Linked DNA regions of Macaca mulatta. The protein of the gene in region 3 purifies or fractionates together with the protein of the main gene of each other region. This does not show direct contact. Links are inferred from orthologs where the notes say so. Each region holds a gene or a part of one and is shown on either strand. Other genes may lie near its edges.

Region 1 (3,500 bases), on a different chromosome or scaffold from region 3:
GATGGAGGGGATGGAGGGGCATGGAGGGGCATGGAGGGATGGAGGGATGGACAGATGGAGGGGATGGAGGGTCATGAAGAGTCACAGAGGAATGAGGGGATGAAGGGCATAGAGGGATGGACAGATAGACGGATGGAGGGGATGGTGGGTCATGGAGAGTCACAGAGGCATGGAGGGGATGGAGGGATGGGGGGGATGGGGGGATGGAGGGATAGAGGGGATAGAGGGGATGGAGGGGATGGAGGGGATGGAGGGGATGGAGGGGATGGAGGGGATAGAGGGGATGGAGGGGATGGAGGGGATGGAGGGATGGGGGGGATGGAGGGATAGAGGGGATAGAGGGGATGGAGGGGATGGAGGGATGGGGGGGATGGGGGGATGGAGGGATAGAGGGGATGGAGGGGATGGAGGGGATGGAGGGGATGGAGGGATAGAGGGGATGGAGGGGATGGGGGGCATGGAGGGGATGGAGGGGATGGAGGGATGGAGGGATGGGGGGATGGAGGGATAGAGGGGATAGAGGGGATGGAGGGGATGGAGGGGATGGAGGGATAGAGGGGATAGAGGGGATAGAGGGGATGGAGGGATAGAGGGGATAGAGGGGATGGAGGGATAGAGGGGATGGAGGGGATGGAGGGGATGGAGGGGATGGAGGGGATGGAGGGGATGGAGGGGATGGAGGGATGGGGGGGATGGAGGGATAGAGGGGATAGAGGGGATGGAGGGATAGAGGGGATGGAGGGGATGGAGGGGATGGAGGGGATAGAGGGGATAGAGGGGATGGAGGGATGGGGGGGATGGAGGGATGGAGGGATAGAGGGGATGGAGGGGATGGAGGGGATGGAGGGGATAGAGGGGATAGAGGGGATGGAGGGATGGGGGGGATGGAGGGATAGAGGGGATGGAGGGGATGGAGGGGATGGAGGGGATGGAGGGATGGAGGGGATAGAGGGGATGGAGGGGATGGAGGGATAGAGGGGATGGAGGGGATGGAGGGGATGGAGGGGATAGAGGGGATAGAGGGGATGGAGGGATGGGGGGGATGGAGGGATAGAGGGGATAGAGGGGATAGAGGGGATGGAGGGGATGGAGGGGATAGAGGGGATGGAGGGGATGGAGGGGATGGAGGGATAGAGGGGATGGAGGGATAGAGGGGATGGAGGGATGGGGGGGATGGAGGGATAGAGGGGATAGAGGGGATGGAGGGGATGGAAGGGATGGAGGGGATGGAGGGGATGGAGGGGATGGGGGGCATGGAGGGGCATGAAGGGCTGGTCCGACCCCATCTCTTTCTTGCCCAGCTCCACCACTCCCCACAGGCAGCCCCACCTGCAGAACCCGGTTCCTCCAGGGTCCCTGCATGCCGCTCCCACCCACAGAACCCAGGGGAGCGGACTGCAGCCACTACTCACTGGTCCAGGCGGACCTGCCAGTAGGCCTTGCGGGTGACGTTCAGGTAGGACAGAGAACCCCTGTAATACTTGGAGTCCGTGCCGCCCAGCATCAGCTCACCCCCGGGCTGCGCAGTTGGGTCCCTAGGAGGAAAGGAAGGGAGGAGTCAGCTGCCACTCCACCCCCCAAGCACAGGAGGGCCAGGTCAGGAGTAAGGGGGTGAATGTGGCAATCGGGGAGAGCTTCCTGAAGGAGGGGCTTTCTGGGCCTGCAGGGATGGAAAGGCCCAGAAGGCAGGAGGAGGGACGGACTCCCTTCTTCCTGGGGTGGGGCTGCTCTGCGTGGGCCCAGCCTGCCCCGGAAGAGGTTTTCCTCAACCCTCAGGTTCTCCTGGTCTGCTCAAGAGCCAAGGTTCAGCCAGACATCAGGGTCAAGGCTGGGGGCAGACAAGGAAGTGAATGCCAGGAGCCCAATGGGGAGGACCCTGTCTGTCTGTCTAGAAGAGAAACCAAGGAAGGCTTCTAGGAGGGGGTGATGGCACAATCTGGGAAGTTGGGATGGCTGGGTCCGGCCTCAGGGCCTCTGCACTGGCTGCTCCTGGGAACAGCCTCCAGCTGCATTCCCGAACCACGCCCACTCATCTCCCCTCATCCAGACCAGCGATGGCCAAGGTGCTTCTGGGCAGCAGCACACTGCACTTCCCAGGACCTGCAGCCCGCGTCGCCTGGGTTCGTTTCCAAACATGACTCAAGTACAAGATTTCAACGCAGCAAATCCTGCCAGTCCCGTTAGAGAAGCTCTCTGTGTCGGGTGGTCCTGCCATCCCGCCAGGGCATCTGCAGCTAAGCTGGCCACCATCCCGCTGCCCGTCACTCGAGGCAGCACCAGGCCTGACCCAGTCCTCCCAGCACTGCTCAGGGCCTCCGCCCTCCTCCAGCCTCCTCCGCCTTTGCTTCCTGTCAACACCTCTGCAATCCCAAGTGTAGAAACCCGATCAGTGCCTTCCACCCCTCCTCTCCTCACCAAACATGCTTTCAGAAGCCCTCAGACCCTCCCTCCTGCCTGGCTTCACTTCCTGCCCAAGCCGCTGCCTTGAGACTACAGCTGGGCACTCACAACTGCGTGCCCCTCCCCCCACCTGGCACTCAGTCTGTGTGCCCCTCCCCTCACCTGGGCACTCACCCTGTGTGCCCCTCCCCCACATGGACATTCAGGCCTGTGTGCCCCTCCCCGCACCTGGATACTCATACCTGTGTCCGCCTCCCCGACCTGGGCACTCAGGCTGTGTGCCCTCCTCCCCTATGTGGGCACTCATGCCTGTGTGCCCTCTTGCCCTCAGGGGACCCCTCTTCACCTCGCTGCCTCGCCTGTGCCCCAAGGCTCCTGGGGAAATGGCCCAGCTGGTTCACCTGTGTCCTGGCCTCCAGTGAGCAGCTCAGCCCAGGGTGTTGCTAAGGAGTATTCACTGCCCAGGCAATGGACAGAGTAAAGAGGCCAGGCCAGCCCCACGGCCGGAATTCTGCCAGCAGTGCCCCAAGGTCAGGCGTCAGGCCCAGAGACTCCAAGTGCCAAGTGAGCCACATGAGGTGAACCTGCCCCTGTCAGCCCTGGAGAGTATGGGGCAGTGACCAGGCACAGCTCAGGGCAGGAGGCCGCCGGCTGACACGCTGCCTACCCCCAGGGCAAAAGCCCCCAACCCCCAGTCACCCCTCTTATATGGAACCCTCCACTCAGGTCTGCCCGAGAAGAGGAAACTAACTAAGGCCGAGGCCCCCTTCCAAAGGTGGCCTGACCATGGCTCACCCATGCTGAAGCAGTGGCAGCAGGTGGGGACCCTGGGGGAGAACCTTTTTCCCAGAAGGAAGGGCCCCCCTATGCTCCTCCTAGAGGGCAGCCAGCACCTGCTGGGGACACCCACAGAGCTGCTCGCTGCGTGGTGCCGGGGACCCACACCCACCCAAGTCACCTCCCCAGGGACTCCCAGGCCCCTGGGCACCATGCCCCCTCTCCACCATCAGCAACCCGGGACCAGGACCACACATGCCCATCACCAGGTCCAGGGACCAACGGGCCAACTGAACCAAGAGGAACTGCCATGACCCCCGAAC
Region 2 (3,500 bases), on a different chromosome or scaffold from region 3:
TATTTAATTTCTACATCACTTTTTTAATGTTTGGTTTTGGTGGTTGGATTTTTAAAATATTTTGTTGTAAATTATGTTTCACAAATGAGGTCACCTTATGCTGTTATGCATGTCTTTATCACCTCTGTAGTTTCGTGGTGTTTTTTTGGCCCACATTAGTATACTGCTTCACTGTAGTTCATTTGACCTATCTGGTTTATTTTGATGAACATTAGGTGGTTTTCCAGTTGCTTGTTTTGCTTATAATAGTAAATTTAAACATTTCTGCTATGAACACTTCCTTTGTTTAAAGAAACATTATTTAAATGAATATTTCTATAGCAAAAAAGTAGTGATAGCTTTTCTCAAATATATATCTCACCCTGAAACCGGTTTGAATTATTTCAATTTCAAGACGCTTTAAATTCTGTTATATTAACAGAAAATTTATGGGGTTGTTTTGTTCTGTTTAGAGACAGGGTCTTGCTGTGTTGCCCAGGCTGGAGTGCAGTGGTGCAATCGTAGTTCACTGCAGCCTCAAACCTAGGCTCAAGCGATTCTCCTGCCTCAGCCTCCTGAGTAGCTGGGACTACAGGCAGATGCCACCACAATTAGTTTATTTTGTTTTTGTAGAGATGGGGTCTTGCTATGTTGCCCAGGCTGGTCTTGAACTCTTGGGCTCAAGTAGTCCCCCCACCTCAGCCTCCCAGAGTGTTGGGATTACACGCGTGAGCCACCGTGCCCAGCTGCAAATTTTTGATTATAAGAATTATTAAGTCAACTGTCTCTTATACCGGAAATACTTTTCAGTCTGTTACTGACATGTAATACTAACCTTTCTTTGGTTTATATTAAAAATGAGTATCTCAGTAGTGATAGCTGGAAATGGAGTATAAGTTTATATCAGACTTACAGAAAATCTCTCTTTGAACTTTTAATAACCTGTATCCCAATTGGGTTATATTTAATTGTGTTTATTCTAGAACATGACCTTTGACCTGCCATCAGATGCCAAAGTAGTGCTCAACAGCAGCTCCTGTGGCAAAGAGAACACTTCTGACCCCAGCCTCGTGATCGCTTTTGGAAGAGGACAGACACTAACCCTCAATTTCACAAGAAATGCAACTCGTTACAGCGTCCAGCTCATGAGTTTTGTTTATAACTTGTCAGACACACACCTTTTCCCCAATGCAAGCTCCAAAGGTAAGAACCAAAGTGGGCCGATTATAAAGTGATAGAAAATTGGGTTGGAGGATTGTCTAAAGTTACTTTTACCTGAGAATTACAGGTTGGGTGTAGTGGCTCACACCTGTAATCCTAGTATTTTGGGAGGCTGAGGCAGACAGATCACTTGAGGTCAGGAGTTTGAGACCAGCCTGGCCAACATTGCAAAACACTGTCTCTACTAAAAATACTAAAATTAGCCAGGTGCGGTGGCAGGCACCTGTAATCCTACCTACTCGGGAGGCTGAGGCAGGAGAATCGCTTGAACCCAGGAGGCAGAGGTTGCAGTGAGCCAAGATGGCGCCACTGCACTGCAGCCTGGGTGACCGAGTGAGACTCTCTCTAAAAAATTAAAAAACACGCAGCCAGGCATGGTAGCTCACGCCTGTAATCCCAGCACTTTGGGAGGCCGAGGCGGGCAGATCATGAGGTCAGGAGTTCGAGACCAGCCTGACTAACGTGGTGAAACCCCCTCTCTCCAAAAAGTTCAAAAATTAGCTGGGCGTGGTAGCGCGTGCCTGTAATCCCAGCTACTCAAGAGGCTGAAGCAAGAGAATCACCTGAACGCAGAAGGCAGAGGTTGCAGTTAGCCGAGATCACGCCACTGCACTCCAGCCTGGGCGACAGGGCAAGACTCCGTCTCAAAAAAAATAAAAAACACATAAAATAAACTAAGTACGACAAGTGATTTTTCTTTTTAAATCTAGAAATCAAGACTGTGGAATCTGTAACTGATGTCAGGGCTAAAATAAAAAACACATAAACTAAGTACTAAAAGTGGTTTGCAATTGTGATTTTTTTTTTTTTTTTAATCTAGAAATCAAGACTGTGGAATCTATAACTGACATCAGGGCAGATATAGATAAAAAATACAGATGTGTTAGTGGCACCCAGGTCCACATGAACAACGTGACCGTCACGCTCCACGATGCCACCATCCAGGCGTACCTTTCCAACAGCAGCTTCAGCAGGGAAGGTAGGACACTGACCCTTGGCCCTCTGGTGCTAGTGGGTGGGTAGTTGGGCTGCAGTGACTGTGGGTGACCTCACTCCTCTGTGTCCTGGCGCTGGGCTCTGCTTGGAAGGCGTGTGCACACGGCCAGGGACGTCTCTGCAGAACGTTCTCATCCTTCTTCCTAGGGCAGGTGACTTGTAGATGAGGGTGGACACATGTTGATTATAAAGGGTAGAAGATTGAAGTGAAATATCCCAGGACAGAGACAGATGTTGTGTGGTCTCCCTCCCAGGGGAGCTAAAGAAGTAGCACTCGGGGAGGTAGAGAGAATGGTGGTCACCAGGGGCTGGGGGGCGAAGTTGGTCAGAAGATAGAAAGTTTCAGGAAGGCAGGAGGAATTAGTTGGAGAGATCTGTTGTACAGCATGTGACTGCAGTTAATAATGTATTTTTAACTCTTCTCACCATAAAAAAGTGTTTGATTTTAGCTGTAGATGTATTTCAAAACATCCTGACACATGGTAAATACATACAATTATTACTTGAAAATGTCAGAAGGGCAAAGCAGTTGAAACCTTTGTGCTTCTGCTGGGGCAGAGATGATGGGATCAGGGTCGCAGATCTCTCGCAGTGTGAGCCAGTTCTGCTGGGGCAGAGATGGTGGGATCAGGTCACAGATCTCTCGCAGTGTGAGCCAGTTGCCTTCACACAGGGACCTAGTCTCACCTCCATCCGGCTCTTGCCAGCCAGCTTAGGGACAGGTGCAGAAAGACCAGCACTGCCTCTCTGAGGAGGTCAGGGCCGCGATGATGCACCTGCTAACCCAGCCACCGGGCTCTGGGGTCAGGCAGGGTCCAGGCCACCTTCTGGCCCTGTGATCTTGAGCAGAGTAGTTTACCTCTCATTTTCTTTGCATGTGGGATAAGATTAAAAGCCTGTCTTGGAAGATTGTTAGAATTAAAAGAGAAATGCATGCAAAGTGTGTATCTCAGCATCTGGCCCAGAGTTCAGTAGCAAACACCTGGTAAATCCTCTTACTGTTGAGGAGCTTCTCTCCTGAGCCTCACAGTCCAGGTCATAGGTTGTTGTCATTTTGCTGAAGTGTGAGAGCCTGTGATTTGCTTTAGGGTGGGCTTTCCCAGCTGATAGAAATATGTGTGGAGACATCCCTTAGGGTGGGCTTTCCTGGCTTCTAGAAATATATGGAGACATCACAGCCTTCTCTAGTCTTGAGAACTGCTGTGGAGACCTTTGGTTTGCAACATTCCTCAGCAGTCTTGCTTAAAGGCTGAGGAGTGACTGCTGGGCTCCAGGAGGCTCGTCCGTCTCCCGCTCCCCGAGGA
Region 3 (4,092 bases):
GGACTATACTATGGTTCTTCTCTATGTCACTTAGGAGTATTTACTTTCCAATGAATCCTATAGGAAATATGCAGCATAACCATATAAACAGCACCCAGTCATTCTATGAACTTACCATCTGCAAGTGAAGGCTGAGGGGAAGAGGACTCCTGAAGTCAAATGTTTTTTCCATTTCCATTATTAACTACATATATCCGTTGTTTTTGCCCACATGGTACCTCTTCCCTCTTCTGTGACAGTAACTCTATTTCCTTTGAGGACCCACTGTCTACTTCTGCATTAAGTCTTAGTGGAAACATCCTTCAATACCCTTCCTCCTCCTCTGGTCTAGGAGTGGTCATGGAACGAAAAACAGTTGGGTGAATCCAACTCTCTCCATGAACAGTAAAAGAAAGATCATGAGGTCAGGTGCAGTGGCTCACGCCTGTAATCTCAGCACTTTGGGAGGTCAAGGCAGGCGGATCACCTGAGGCCGGGAGTTCGAGACCAGCCTGACCAAAATGGAGAAACCCCGTCTCTACTAAAAATACAAAATTAGCCAGGTATGGTGGCGCATGTCTGTAATCCCAGTTACTTGGGAGGCTGAGGCAGGAGAATCACTTGAACCCGGGAGGCGGAAGTTGCAGTGAGCCGAGATCGCACCATTGCACTCCAACCTGGGCAACAAGGGCGAAACTCCATACAAAAAAAGAAGAAAGATCATGGTTTAGGCAGATTCATTCCAGGGTAGACCCTGAAAAGGACTCCTGTCACTTCAGTGCCTTGAGATGCCCTTGTTTGGGTCCGTTCAGAGGCCTTGGCATATACTCGCCCTATAGCCTTTCAAATAAATCTTTTTCTTAAATTAGTCAGAGTTGGTTTCACTGCCTGCAAACAATGAATCCTTACTAACACAAAGTCTTTGACTCAACTCATTTAAGTATCTGTAACTAAGGCATGGTCCAGAATTTTTAGCTTTTCCCTGAAGGCTAGAAATCATGTCTACGAAATACCAAAAGCAGGCAACTTACTCAGATCTAAAGTGACTCCAATATGTGGTTGGTGGCAAAACATTAATCTCTAATTAATTTTTATTTATTTTTATTTTTGAGACAGAGTCTCACTCTGTCGCCCAGGCTGGAGTGCAGTGATGCGATCTTGGCTCACTGCAATCTCTGATCTCTGCCTTCTGGGTTCAAGCGATTCTCCTGCCTCCCCAGTATCTGGGATTACAGGCCCCCACCACCACACCTGGCTGATTTTTGTATTTTTAGTGGAGACAGGGTTTTGCCATGTTGGTCAGACTGGTCTCAAACTCCTGACTTCGGGTAATCTGCCTGCCTCAGCCTCTCAAAGTGCTGGGATTACAGGCATGAGTCTTCCAGACCGCCCCCAGTCTCCAGTGTTTGAGGAAGCAGATTTCTAGTACTGTATGCATCCCACAACTAAAAGCTACAGATCCAAGAACCCTAGAGCAGCTTAGCATCAACCAAGAAGCACTTACTGCATGTGTTTTTCTAAGAGTCTCTCATTTTCCTCTTATGTATTCGTTTTTTTCCATACATTGTCAGCTCATGAAGCTCAGCCTTAAAAACTCAGAAACAATGAATTTTGCTTTAAATATATATGAGTCTCAAATCTACTTACAGGTCTTACAGTTAATTTTCCATTTTCTCAACTGGAAAAAATAGAAAATTTTAGTTTCATTAGAAATTGTTTGGTCTTTATTTCATCAAGATTCACTGCACAAGAATCTAAGCTACCGAAGTGCTGGAACTGTTTCGTGTTTCTCTTCCTTTTCCTGATGCAGCTCATTCAGTGATAGGATCACAGTAATATTCCTACTAATTTATTAACCCAAATTAGTGCTTTAATATAACTGTCAACTTTGCATTTCTCAAGAGGAAAAATTTTATTACTTTCCAGTGGAAACTCCAGTTAATTCTGGGCATACATACATGTTTCCCCTAAAAACACCTTATGATACTGAAGCAAATAAATAAGATTTTTGTAATTATGCTACCATTCTGTACTATACACGCTGTAAACTAGGCCACTGGTTTTTTTGGTAATCTGGTTTGAATCTATCAAAGATTTAAAAACCTCTGCATTCCTACCATGCTAAATTCAAAACAGCACATGACACTTTTTCTCTCGTATGGGTTTCCAGGCGATGATAGCCACAGGTCTGCGGGACGCTGGCGCCCGGCCCGAGCGTCGCTGTCACTCCAAGTCCACAGCCTCTAGAGCCAAGGCAAGGGACCCCACCAGGAAGGGAGATTCGCCCCCTGCGACCCTGGGGCGTCCGAGCGGAACCCAGTGGCCCAGCTCCCAGAGACTCGCGGGGAGGAAAGGCTGTCAGGCCTGGCGCGCATCACGTGAAGCTGCCAGTTCCGGGATCAAAGACGTAACCCGCACGTGGGCTGGGCGCCAGCCTGGGACCCCCAGAGCCGCGCGCCCACCGCCCAGGACCCCACCCCAGCCTCCACCAGGAAAATTAGCCCGGAGTTAGCGTGTCGCGGATCCCAAGGGCGCCGGCGCCCTCCCATAGCCCCGCGCCCAGGCCTCCCCGGCACAGGCGGCGCCCCCTCCCGCCGCGGCCGCACTCGCCAAGGGTGGCTTCCCTCTTTGAGTCTCCGCCCCGTGCGCCCCGGCACAGGAAAAAGGGGATTCCGGGGCCAGCCGCCCGCCACCTCCGTGCACTCACGTCCTCCATCCTGCCCCCCGCCGCCATTTCCCGACGCCGGAGGCCGAAGCCCCGGCCAGCCCGGCCTCTCCACCGGGACCTAGAAGCCCCTGGCCGCGAAAATTGCCACCTTCTGGGACCTGCCAGGCCCCGCCCCAGACACACCCCCTCCTGCGTCCGTCCCGCCTCCGGCTGGCCCATCCCCGCCCCCTTAGCTCCGATTGGCTGAGATGGTGGGAGGGGCGTGCCGGCCCAGAAGACCTGGACTGTGGGTGCTGGCTACCGCCTGAACCACTTCGGTCCCTGGGGCTTCTGGCCGCAGCGGCTCGGTGCGCTCTTACCCAGAGACCTGGGCATTAAAGGATGCCTTCCTAGTCCAAGAATTTAACTATTTTCGGGCTCCACTTGCATATTTTAAGAACATTAATTTTTTTCGGTCTTGCCTAGTTTTTTTGTTTGCAGACACAGCTCTACGCCTAGGTAGAACCAGCGGTAAAATCCTCCACCAGCCCAGGGACAGGAGGAGAATAAAGATTCCAATTTCCATGACATATTTATAGATTTCTCCAATGGGAAACAAAGCACTTCGGAATGTTTACGGCGTTTGTTTATTAAGACAGAGTCTCGCTCTGTCGCCCACGCTGGAGTGGCCTAGCACGACCGTGGCTCACTGCAGTCTCGAACTCTTGGCCTCCTGGCCAGTTCTCCCACCTCAGCCTCTCAAAGTACTGAGATTACAGGCGTGAGCCACTGGGCCCTTGTTTCTTTTAAAATTGAATTTCAAAAAGAGAAAACTAAAATGACATTTTCTGAAAAGTTCATGATTGTAAAAATGTAAGCAAACAAGGAAATAAATTTTCTGTTACCAGCTCCCGGAGAGAACTTTGATATCAGTTAGAATGTATGCACTCATACATTTTTTTGGTGGGGCGGGGGAGATGGAGTTTTGCTCTGGCGCCAGGCTGGAGTGCAGTGGCGCCATCTTGGCTCACTGCAACCTCCACCTGCTGGGTTCAAGTGATTCCCCTGCCTCAGCCTCCCAAGTAGCTGGGACTACAGGTGTGCACCACCACGCCCAGCTAGTTTTTTGTATTTTCAGGAGAGACGGGGTTTCACCTTGTTAGCCAGGATGGCCTCAATCTCCTGACCTCGAGATCCGCCCTCGTCGGCCTCCCAAAGTGCTGGGATTACAGGCGAGAGCCACCATGCCCGGTCCTAATTTTTGTATTTTTAGTAAAGATAGGGTTTCACTATGTTGGCCAGGCTGGTCTCAAACCCCTGACCTCAAGTGATCTGCCCACCTCGGCCTCCCAAAGTGCTGGGATTACAGGCGTGAGCCACTGCGCCTGGCCAGAGATTTTCTATTAAATAAAATAATGCATGTAATGCTCTTTCTACAGTGTTGTCTCTACAAAGCACTAAGCAAA
Region 4 (3,382 bases), on a different chromosome or scaffold from region 3:
GAGGAATATGAATTCATCAGAGGTCTCATAGCCTTGAGCAAATTGTACGCCTCTATATTTGGCTCATCATTTTGCTCAACCGAGATGTTTTTGTGAACTTAAAATCATTGGCAAAAAAGTTCTTAAAGCTAAAAACTGATAGAAGCTTTAAGTGAGCTTTATTTGAGGTATGGGTTTTAGTTTGTAGAGAAGATGGCACTTGGGAGCGGCAGCTTTGAGCATGTTGCATCTGCTTCCTGAGGCCGTCTTCTCACTGGAAACATTTTCATACCTGAATGAAAGCAGTTTGGTCTGATTTTGTTAAGACAAAAGATAAAAGAGTGGTAGCAAAACCTCAAATATCATGAACTATGTTTTTACAAGCCAAAACGATCTGGAGAGTTTTCAAAGCATGTGCCAGTGTGAATGAGGCTTTTTGAAGATCACTCAGGGCTAATGGTAGTATTTATTAGATTTTTAATGAAACCCTTGTTTGATGGGTTCATTATAATGTGTTCATACGAATATGAAAGACATATTTGGCATTATAAGATTAAAATTTGCATGAAGAAAAAAAGCACGTAAAATTCCTTAATTGACTTGTCCTTTTAAGCCCATTACCTAAAATTGGGGGTTTGTGGATCACAACTCTGTTGAGCAGAGCTATTCCAGTCATCCACATACTTTTCAACCATTAATTCTATGGTTTGGAAGGAAATGTGGAAGCTGTGTTTAGAAGCGAATATACTGTGAGCCAGTCGACTGCTTTTGCAGTGGTGTTGAATACCTAGTCTGACTTGGTTAGGCCACAATAAATTGGGCTCTCCACCCTACCATTCTTGTGGTTAAAGACGTTAGTTACACTTTAAAAATATTTTCAAGTATTCATTTTCCCTTTTGCCTGTTTTGCTTATGCACTTCAATTATTTTGATCCTTTACTAGCTTTATTTTTGGACTTTTTATTTGGCTCCCCTTCATTACTCCCCTAATTTTAAGATCAGATTTGTGTTTACAGTTTAAAATCATTTGCAGTATTAGTATCATCACTTCAAGACGGTTTATCTAGTCAACTGTAATAGAGATGAGCTATGCTCTTTCTCTCACTTTGAAACTTTGGTTTTTATGTATGTAGAATTAAAAATATCACCCAAAGAGATATACAACATTTAATACTGATATTGAATGTATAATCTATTCGTGGAACTAGGTTCTTGGCTGTGGGTACCTATAAATACAACACATAGGTAATATTTGACTGTAAGGGAAAGAAATAGAATTGCAATAAGGCAGAAGAGTGTTGATTGGATTTTACTGGATCAGACCACTTTCTAGAAATAGAAAAAAATAGCCCCTTTAGGCTGCCAACCCTGACCAGATAAGAAATGCAGTAAGCACACTCAAATTAGTAAGAGGTCCCAGTTTCTTGACTTTGCAGCCACTAAAATTGTATGTTCTAAGTCATGATCTGCAAACTTTAAAGTTCCAAACAGTAAGTGTTTTAGGCTTTGGGGCCATATGGTCTCTGTCACAACTATTCAACTCTGCTATTGTAGTACGAAAACAGCAACACATAAACAGATGATGGGCTGGGTTCCAATAAAACCTTATTTATGGACACTGGAATTTGAATTTTATATGTTCTCATGAGTCACAAAATATTTTTTTCAACCATTTAAAAATGTAAAAGCCCTTTTTAGCTCTTGGACCAGATTTGGCCCATGGGCTACAGCTTGCTGACCCCTGACTCTAAAGGGACTCCAGAGCCAGCCTGGCTATTCTCATCACATGATACCTTCCTGATCCTGTTTCTACTTTCCCAAAAGACATTCATGCTACCACTGAGCGGCTAATCTGGCTATGTAAAAGTGGGCTAGATTAGCTCCCTTAATTTGTGATAAAGTAATACTCCTATTTTGGAAAGGACTTGGAATATAAACAAACATATACGTGTGTATATATGTATATGCAAACATATATATCATATATATAATGTGTGCATTATATATCATGTATATAATTGCATTATATATCATGTATATAATGTGTGCATTATATATATCATGTATATAATGTGTTCATTATATATCATGTGTAATGTGTGCATTATATATTATCATGATATATATATTATGATATGAGCTGTGTTTATAGATGTAAATGAATATGCATGTATTCATATATATGAATATCTACATATATACACGTAAACAAATGAAAGAACAAAGTCTTAGAATTTTAATTCTAGAACAGTTCTCCATTTTCTATAGCTTTATCATAAAAATATACCTGTCTTAGTTACTTGAAGTTGATCTTGTAAGAACATTTCTGACTTTTAAATCAACATCTTTTACTTTAGGACATTCTTTTGTGATTATACTCATTATTTGTTACACACTTTTTCTCACCTACAGCCCAAGAGTGTTCGCTGGATGATGACACCATTCTAATCCCAATTATAGTTGGTGCTGGTCTTTCAGGCTTGATTATCGTTATAGTGATTGCTTACGTAATTGGCAGAAGAAAAAGTTATGCTGGATATCAGACTCTGTAACACTAATCAATACGTGATCTCTGTTACAAAAGAAAAAAGCAAGTACAAGTTCCAACATGCAATACTGGTCAATTTAAGGTATATTTAGTTGCAGTCCGGCTCTTTAGAATGGGTGGTGTGGGGGATTTCAAACTTAAACAAAAAACTATCAACTACAAATTAGTTGCCTGACTTTGGTTTCTCCAACCAAGCAATTTAAAACTTATTTTTACAGCAAAAGATGTGCAAAATCACTGAATTATAGGTTCTGTTTTACTGTCTTGAATTAGTATTTCAGTGTTTTCATTTTAGACATTTAGACTAAAAATACACAGTTTAGAAAAAACAATTTTTGAAAAAGATTTTTTTTTTCCCTGCATGTAGTTGAGTTGGAACAACATGTTCTACAGTGGATTTGTACTTGCTCCTTTTGCTCTTTTTTTTGTGATTTTTGTTTGCAGGTTAACTTAGCTACTTTGGCATTGCTGCATATTTGACCTATGAGAGATATACTGGTAGATTTGAACAGGGGCTGGTATTATGATGTTCTTAGCAATAAATGCTTTTCTAATGCTTTTTGAATATATTTGTATTTATGTGGCTGCAATGACAAAAGATACAAAAGCTTTTTAAAATTTAGAGTAGGTATTAATCTTATTGTTTAATCCTTTTTTTAAAAAACTGGATATTTCAATCTTTTAAATTGCAAGATACAAGACTATTCCAACAGGGCATTTCAATCCATTTTTTAGGTGCTTTAGAGATAATTGCTTGCCAGTGCCAATTGAGGGCATTAGTACTTTGTGCTCATAAATTGGCCTCTGTATGCAATACTAAAATTAATGCAGATTTCTCTTTAGCCTTCCAATATT

What was found. Proteins that work in one complex are often made in the same cells at the same time.
Region 1: the proteins of TMEM192 (region 3) and CTSD purify together in Homo sapiens (affinity purification with western blotting; 3 studies listed by BioGRID, with this or other methods). This does not show direct contact. The link is inferred for Macaca mulatta from reciprocal best matches to the Homo sapiens genes TMEM192 and CTSD.
Region 2: the proteins of TMEM192 (region 3) and LAMP1 purify together in Homo sapiens (affinity purification with mass spectrometry; 3 studies listed by BioGRID and IntAct, with this or other methods). This does not show direct contact. The link is inferred for Macaca mulatta from reciprocal best matches to the Homo sapiens genes TMEM192 and LAMP1.
Region 4: the proteins of TMEM192 (region 3) and LAMP2 purify together in Homo sapiens (affinity purification with western blotting; 5 studies listed by BioGRID and IntAct, with this or other methods). This does not show direct contact. The link is inferred for Macaca mulatta from reciprocal best matches to the Homo sapiens genes TMEM192 and LAMP2.

What each region holds. Positions count from the first base shown.
Region 1 is NC_133419.1:1,675,292-1,678,791, forward strand, and holds part of CTSD (cathepsin D), read right to left. Parts: intron 1,536-3,500; coding exon 1,413-1,535; intron 1-1,412. UniProt on the Homo sapiens protein: Acid protease active in intracellular protein breakdown. Plays a role in APP processing following cleavage and activation by ADAM30 which leads to APP degradation.
Region 2 is NC_133422.1:107,561,874-107,565,373, forward strand, and holds part of LAMP1 (lysosome-associated membrane glycoprotein 1), read left to right. Parts: intron 1-962; coding exon 963-1,182; intron 1,183-2,020; coding exon 2,021-2,179; intron 2,180-3,500. UniProt on the Homo sapiens protein: Lysosomal membrane glycoprotein which plays an important role in lysosome biogenesis, lysosomal pH regulation, autophagy and cholesterol homeostasis.
Region 3 is NC_133410.1:173,665,560-173,669,651, forward strand, and holds the start of TMEM192 (transmembrane protein 192), read right to left. Parts: upstream 2,801-4,092; 5' UTR 2,714-2,800; coding exon 2,687-2,713; exon of another isoform or gene 2,121-2,686; coding exon of another isoform or gene 2,097-2,120; intron 1-2,096.
Region 4 is NC_133426.1:126,838,806-126,842,187, reverse strand, and holds the end of LAMP2 (lysosome-associated membrane glycoprotein 2 precursor), read left to right. Parts: intron 1-2,391; coding exon 2,392-2,531; 3' UTR 2,532-2,882; downstream 2,883-3,382. UniProt on the Homo sapiens protein: Lysosomal membrane glycoprotein which plays an important role in lysosome biogenesis, lysosomal pH regulation and autophagy.